2 linked regions of the Macaca mulatta genome follow. The protein of the gene in region 1 purifies or fractionates together with the protein of each later gene. This does not show direct contact. Links are inferred from orthologs where the notes say so. Each region holds a gene or a part of one and is shown in the gene's direction. Other genes may lie near its edges.

The links.
Region 2: the proteins of TADA2B (region 1) and TAF10 purify together in Homo sapiens (affinity purification with mass spectrometry; 4 studies listed by BioGRID and IntAct, counting the BioPlex papers as one, with this or other methods). This does not show direct contact. The link is inferred for Macaca mulatta from reciprocal best matches to the Homo sapiens genes TADA2B and TAF10.

The regions. Positions count from the first base shown.
Region 1 is NC_133410.1:5,991,494-5,995,735, reverse strand, and holds the start of TADA2B (transcriptional adapter 2-beta), read left to right. Parts: upstream 1-1,437; 5' UTR 1,438-1,645; coding exon 1,646-1,915; intron 1,916-4,242. Other genes in the region: CFAP184 (cilia- and flagella-associated protein 184), read right to left, coding at 1-1,013. UniProt on the Homo sapiens protein: Coactivates PAX5-dependent transcription together with either SMARCA4 or GCN5L2.
Region 2 is NC_133419.1:59,170,661-59,173,984, forward strand, and holds TAF10 (transcription initiation factor TFIID subunit 10), read left to right. Parts: upstream 1-1,493; 5' UTR 1,494-1,505; coding exon 1,506-1,737; coding exon of another isoform or gene 1,738-1,752; intron 1,753-1,875; coding exon 1,876-2,030; intron 2,031-2,245; coding exon 2,246-2,310; intron 2,311-2,394; coding exon 2,395-2,509; intron 2,510-2,686; coding exon 2,687-2,776; 3' UTR 2,777-2,824; downstream 2,825-3,324. Other genes in the region: scaffold protein ILK, read right to left, coding at 3,087-3,236. UniProt on the Homo sapiens protein: The TFIID basal transcription factor complex plays a major role in the initiation of RNA polymerase II (Pol II)-dependent transcription.

The DNA.
Region 1 (4,242 bases):
AGTGCCTGGAAGCGCCGCCACTCCTTCTCCACTCTTGAGAGCTTCTCCTGGCACTGCTGCTTCAACTGGCCCAGCTCCTGGTGGTACCACTGCAGGTCGTCTGCCTGCTGCTTCTTCAGGTCCTCCAGCATGCCCAGATGGCGCAGGTACGCTTGCTCTTTCTCGGGGGCCTCTGCTTCTGCGCCCCGGTCAGGCACCTCCGCCGCCTCCAGGCCCTTCTTTTTGCGCAGCGCCTCGAAGATCTTGTGCTGCAGGTACAGGTTGTAGCGCTGGGAGCGGTTCCGCTCCATCAGCAGGGAACGGTACTGGTCCAGGAGGTCGCTGCGCAGCTGCTGCTCCTGTAGCTTCTGGACCTCCTCGGACCACTCCAGGTCCTCAAACTCGTCCCTTCCACCGAGGGGCTTCCCCTCTTCCTGGCTTTTGGCCGGGCGTCCTTCCCCAGCCCTCCCCTCGCTCTCCGCGCCGTCTCTCCGTGTCTCCTCCTCGTCGTCCTCCTCCCCCTCCACCCGCTCTGTCTCGGCCTCCGGGGCTGCAGCAGCCTCTTCCTCGCCGATCCTGGTCAGCGGCAGAGAGGCCTGGGACCGGACTTCCTTGCCCTCCGCCGCCTGCTCCAGCTCCTCCGCCCTCGCCTCCGCATCTAGTTCCTCGGGCCCGGCTCCGGACTTCGGCTGGACGGGCTCCTCAGCCCCGGCCTCGGCCGGCTCTTCGGGTTCGGGCTGGGGCTTGGCCGGCCTCCCCGGCTCTCCAGGCCCCTCCTCGCCCGCAGCCTCGGCTGCCGTTAGCTCTTTCGGGGTCTTGGCCTGCTCGTCCGCGGCTGTGCCTCCCTGCGAAGCCTCCTCTTCCTCCTCCTCCTCCTCCTCCTCCTCCTCCTCTGGCTCCGACTCCAGCTCCCCGGGTTCGGGAGGGGTCGGAGGGCCAGAGCTGGCCTTGATCTTGGACGGCCGCGCGGCCAGGCTTTCCCCGTCTCCGCCTTCCCCGCCGGGGTCCTTAGTGTGCTCAGACCCGCCCTCCATCTCCGCCCGGCTCTGCCAGCGCAGCGGACCCCGGCAGCGTGCTGTTAGGTTTCCCGGGGCAACCGAGGGCGCGCGCGCTGGGCCCGGCGATTGGCCAGGCGACAGGCCGTCGTCCAGCCTCTTCTCCCCGGAGAGCAAGCCAATGGGAGGCCGCGAGCTGGCGATAGGCGAGATTGATTGGAAGCGGCCGTGGGCTCTCGCCGCGAGGGGCGTGGCGTCCCCGCCGGGCTTTCTGCCTGCCCATTTCCCACCGCTGGGCCTGGGGCGGGGCGTTCAGGAGGCTCTGGGAAAGGCGGCTGCGGCCGGCGCGGGGTGCGCGCAGGCGCAGAGCGGTGGGCCGGGCGTCCGCAAGGTGGCGCCCGCGGGGCGCCTGCGCGATGCGGCGGGGCGACAGCGGCCGCGGCGGCGGCTGCCGGGCCGGGCCGGACGGCGCCTGCGTACTGAGGCGGGACGCGGCCCGGCTGGCTGGCTCCGGCGGCTGCTGGGCTGGGGCCGCGGTGGCGGCAGCCGCGGCGACGGGCGGCGGTTGCTTGTGCGCGGCGGCGGCGGCGGGTCCCGCGGGCGGCGGGGCGCTGACGGCCGGGGGCGCGGCGGCTGCGGCGGGCCGGGCGGCGGGCGGCGAGCGGGGGAAGATGGCGGAGCTGGGGAAGAAGTACTGCGTGTACTGCTTGGCCGAGGTGAGCCCGCTGCGCTTCCGCTGCACCGAGTGCCAGGACATCGAGCTGTGCCCCGAGTGCTTTTCGGCCGGCGCCGAGATCGGCCACCACCGCCGCTACCACGGCTACCAGCTGGTGGACGGCGGGCGCTTCACGCTCTGGGGGCCCGAGGCCGAGGGCGGCTGGACCAGTCGCGAGGAGCAGCTGCTGCTGGACGCCATCGAGCAGTTCGGCTTCGGAAACTGGGTGAGCAGCGCGACAGGGGCCGGGTCCCGGCTAGGGCACAGGAAGGCCCGCGCCTCTCATGTATCGGGCGCGCAGGCAGCACTGGACCTGCTCGCTCCGCTCGGCACCCCGGAAGGCCCCGGAGGTGGGGAGGGCGACGCTGCCGGTTTATAGTCGGGCACCTGTCGGAACCTATGCTCAGAGAGGCTGTGACGCCCCCAAGGTCACCTAGCCGAGACGGGGCCAAGTGGGGCTTTGAACGCTGGTTTCTGACAGCAGAGCCATTTCCCTCACCTTCAGGGACACCTTCACAGGCGTTTGCGGAGTGCAGACGTTGGGCGAGACGCGGTGCCTTACCTGAGTTCGTGGAGTCAGGCAGGCCCACAGACTCGACAGAAAGCGGTGGGAGCACCAGGGAGGGAGAACGGTGGGCGCCCTGCGGCTTGTCTCGGGGTCTCTGGGGCGGCCCCGTTTGCTTTCTGTCATTGTATGCATGTGCCCTGTGTGGTGTGCCAGTGCACAGATTCTTTGTGGGTAGCGTGCCTGGTTAATGCTTGGGTCTCCACAACCCACGACATTGTGCGAGTGGTCAGTAAAGAATGAACAAAGAGGCCTGGCCTGGGAGGCCTGGGGCTTGGGTTTTGCTCTCTTTACGTTTGAGGTTTTTGTAGAGACAGCTCTGTGTGGGGAGCGGTGAGAGCTGGACTGGATCCACTTACGCTAGCAACATCGTGTGCTAGGTTCTGTCCTTGAGAGAGGAACATGGTTGTTCTCTCTGGGCGGTTTCTCAGCTCTCCTTTCATTCTGGAAGCTTGCATCCGTGTTAGAAAGGAGAAAATCTCTAGCCGTATTCCCACTCATAACCACCAAAGGCATGTGGCCATCCCCAGGCACCCTGAGAAGGAGGGGAGTGAGACACCCCAGCGCCCTTAGCTTTGCAGAGTCTTCCCCTGCTACACCAGGTGCCTGCTTCTCGGAACAGCGTCCATCTGCTGCCACGTCTCCAGCAGTCCTGCCTGGGCTGCTTTGATTGCCTTTTGCTTTCCTTTCCTGAAAGAGTCTCAGGACCGCCTCATATACCCATTCTGAAGCCCTGGAATCTTGATTCTCCTCCCAGCTCCTTAGAGAAGATGGTCCTTTACAAATCCTTACCTAATGGCCACCAGCATTGGGATCGCCATTTTTCAGAAACTCTGGCCCATCTTGTCCTTCCATGCTGTTTGTGGATATGCACTGAGCTTGTGTTCCGTGCAGATTCTACAGTGGCGGAGGACTCTGAAGGAAAGAGAAGCCTTTATCCCTCCATTCAGGGAGCTTAAAGTGTGGTACTGACTTGGTCCTGGGCCCAGAGCTCCTCCTTAGCAACAGCCATCCATGTCCAGCCACCTCCCTGTCCTATCTGCCTCTCAGTGTCCTCTTGACTTACTCCTTAGTTCCTTGTTCCACTAAGTTCCTGATCCAGTTTATCAGCTGTCTCCTCACAGTACATCCAGAACAAACTACTTCTTACAGCCGTAGTCCCGGCTGATAATTTACTTCTTGCCTTGACCACTTTGGGAGCCTCCTTGTTCGTTATTCCCCCTGCACCCTATTCCCCCATTCCACACACCATAACCAGAGCGAGCTTTGGAAGCACAGAGCGCCTCACACCGGCCTCAGTGGCTTTTACTTCAGTTAAGGCTGCCTTAGAAGTGTTGAGCAATGAGATCTCATCTGTTACCTCCCTTGATCATTTTATATTTCTTCTACCTAGAGTGCTCTCCCCCAAAATCATGGCCCAGGATCGATCTTTCCACTTACATATCAGTGCCTCAAAGGGCTCTTCCCTTCACCATCCCAGCAATTATCTCTATGTTAGCAGCTAAGGAGGCGCAGAGCCTTGCTGGCATATCTGTGCGTATCTCAGGACATTTTCCCGACAGCCCTTGGCAGTTGGCTTTGGATGGACCAGTTTGACTTCAGAGCCTGTACTCTTTTTTTTTTTTTTTTTTTTTTTTTTTTTTGAGACGGAGTCTCGCTCTGTCGCCCAGGCTGGAGTGCAGTGGCCAGATCTCAGCTCACTGCAAGCTCCGCCTCCCGGGTTTACGCCATTCTCCTGCCTCAGCCTCCGGAGTAGCTGGGACCACAGGCGCCGCCACCTTGCCCGGCTAATTTTTTGTGTTTTTAGTAGAGACGGGGTTTCGCCGTGTTAGCCAGGATGGTCTCGATCTCCTGACCTTGTGATCCGCCCGTCTCGGCCTCCCAAAGTGCTGGGATTACAGGCTTGAGCCACCGCGCCCGGCCAGAGCCTGTACTCTTAACTACACTGTCTGCACTGCCTTCCCTGCGGCACTGTGGAAAATACACAG
Region 2 (3,324 bases), on another chromosome or scaffold:
GTGACTGCACCTCGTACCTCTTAAATATCTTTATCAGTCCACAAGTCCTTCCAATGATATTTCCCAAGTATATCTAGAACTTATCCACTTATATCCCCACTGCTACTATATTAGTTTAGGGCTACATTCTCTTGAAAAGTACAGCGTCCTTACTTCCGGCCAATCCCCAAATCATCTTCCAGAGTAAAATGCAAATCCCATCAGGCCACTTGGATGAAAACCCTTCAAGGATTACTGGATAGAGTTCAGGCTTTTTATTTTCTTCCCCCAATCATAGCTCACAAACCTTCGTTGCTATTTGTTCCTAAGTAACAAATCATTTTTCCTCCTCCCTCCCCAAACCCCAAGGAACTCTCACTCTTGCTCAAGCTGTTCTGTCCCCTTAATACCACCCCTGATACAAACTGCCTGGTTAATTTCCAGAATTCTTACAAGATTCAGCTCAGAAGTCACCTTCTCTCGTGAATGTTTTGATTCCCTGAGGCTACTTCATTTTGCTATGGCTGAAAAATCCTAGATTTTCTAAACAAAACCTGTTTGAATCTTGGTTCTGATATGGACTGGGAGAGAGACTGGGTCAAGCAAGTTTATCTCCCTGAGGCTGTTTCCTCGTCTGTTAAGTGGGAATATTACCTGCCTTTCCTAATCACCAGGGAATAAAGTGGAATAATGTTGATAAGAGTACTTGGCACCTGGAAGTAGGTGGCAGATGTTAATGCCCTTCCTCCCTTGCACTGCGACCCCTGTGTCTACCTCTAGTATTGTAACGACCACATAGTATTGAAATAGCCACTTTACTTGTCTGGCTTCCTTTCCAAGACCGTTGGTGCCTAAAGGACTAGAATCGTGTTCTATTTAACTTTGTATTCCCAGGTCCTAGCTCAGGAGTTGGCAAATAAGAATTAAATATCTGCTACATTGAAAATCTCACGCCTTTCACTCGTTGTGATTTTTGCATACGTTGTCGACTTAGGCTGAAACCCCTCCTCCTTCTACAGCAGCACTGTGGGCCGCCCCACTGCTGCCCCCACCTCTCGGGGCAGTTGGTGGAGAAGGGCGGGGGGCTTTCCAAATCCACTATGAATCCTTACAAGGCTGAATAAGGGAACTTGAAAGGATGCAGACAGGCAGGCAATCCGTAGTCGAGGGATGTAGGGCCCATAAACCTCGAAGCAAGGTCTTGAGCGTCAGACAGAATGAGGTGTCCCAGAGCGGCGGAAGAGTCCCGGACGCACGCTGCTTCTAGTCTCGACGGAATCGCCACCGAGCACCGCAGAGGCTAGGGCGGAATGGCGACGGCAGCGCAGTTCGCCAAGGCTTGGTCTCCGCCCTTCAGCCTATTTCCTCTAACCCGCAGACCCACTACCAGAGGAGGCGGGGAGCGGGCTGGAGAGCACTAACAGTGACAGGCGGGGCGAGTCGAGGGCGCGTGACGTCACCCCGGGGTGTGCGCGGCGCGAGCGGAAGCGGAAGCGGCTCTGTTCGCCGCCTCTCCCACCGGCCCGATGAGCTGCAGCGGCTCCGGCGCGGACCCCGAGGCGGCGCCGGCTTCCGCCGCCTCGGCCCCGGGCCCGGCACCCCCGGTCTCGGCTCCCGCAGCGCTGCCCGCCAGCACCGCTGCGGAGAACAAGGCCAGCCCCGCGGGGACAGCAGGGGGGCCTGGGGCTGGAGCAGCTGCTGGGGGCACGGGACCCTTGGCGGCGCGGGCCGGGGAGCCAGCTGAGCGGCGTGGGGCGGGTGAGGGCCTGACGGGTGAGGGCGAGGGAAGCGTCTGGGACTGGGCCCAGCGGCGGGTGAGGGCAGCGGGTATAGACAGACCTCGCTGGGGCCCTGCGCCTCCCACCTCTGTGTCTCATTTTGCTGGTTCTCCTCCAGCTCCGGTGTCGGCGGGTGGCGCGGCGCCCCCAGAAGGGGCCATGTCTAACGGGATTTACGTACTGCCGAGCGCGGCCAACGGAGACGTGAAGCCGGTGGTGTCCAGCACGCCGTTGGTGGACTTCTTGATGCAGCTGGAGGATTACACGCCTACGGTGGGCTTCCGCCCGAACAAGGCCACCTAGCCTGCTGTCACAACTTTCAGCCACATCTCCGTGCTTTTCAGCACCCTCTGATGTTTGCTTCCGTAGTCGCTCTTGTTTTTGCCCTCTGCTCACCCAAATCGTGAGCTTCCTGATAACCAGGTCTATCCGACATTTCCCTCACCCTCATCCCACTCTGCTGACAGTTCTCTTAATTGATTTCTTAGATCCCAGATGCAGTGACTGGTTACTACCTGAACCGTGCTGGCTTTGAGGCCTCAGACCCACGCATGTGAGTAAACCCAGGGCAGGTTAGTTTTGGGTGCTTGTGCAGTGTGTTGTCCATCTCCTTCTCATCTAAGTTTTTTCTCTCTAGAATTCGGCTCATCTCCCTAGCTGCCCAGAAATTCATCTCAGATATTGCCAATGATGCCCTACAGCACTGCAAAATGAAGGGCACAGCCTCCGGCAGCTCCCGGAGCAAGAGCAAGGTGTGAGGGGAGGCTCATTGAATCACTAATTACCTTCCACAACAGTGGAAGCTTATCCTGCCACCCCTTTGGGGAAACTGAATCCTAGGGGAGGTGTAAAACTTACTCAGGGTCACCCATCTGGGATTGAAGTGTGGGATTCCTGTGCTCAGTTGGTGCTCTTCCCTCTTCCCTCAGGACCGCAAGTATACTTTAACCATGGAGGACTTGACCCCTGCCCTCAGCGAGTATGGCATCAATGTGAAGAAGCCGCACTACTTCACCTGAGCCACCCAACCTAAATGTACTTGTCTGTCCCCATGTCCCCACACCAGCCTGTTTTCATAATAAACTTTATTGTGACAGGCGGGGCTGATCCCTCCCATGTTGGGAGACACCATGTGGCAAGTGACAAAGCTCTGAGCCCGCCCCTTTTGGGGCCACAGTGGTAGGGATGGGGGAAGGGGATGGACCCCATGGCTGGGGTAGTACCATGACTGGAGGCAGGGGAGGCAACCAGAGGTCTGCTGCTTTGGGGAGGTACATTCCCCCAACCATGTCCTGACACCTCTGGAGTTCAGGCAAGGGCCTTCCGGTCCTACTTGTCCTGCATCTTCTCCAGGATAGGCACAATCATGTCAAATTTGGGTCGCTTTGCAGGGTCTTCGTTCATGCAGATCTTCATGAGCTTACACACATGAGGGGAAATACCTGGTGGGATGGTAGGCCGAAGGCCTTCCAATGCCACCTGTGAATACAAGAAAAAACTGAGCCTCACAATTTGAGTCTGTCATGTAGAGAGAAGCCACTGGCCCCTGGGACAGGATAACTGTATA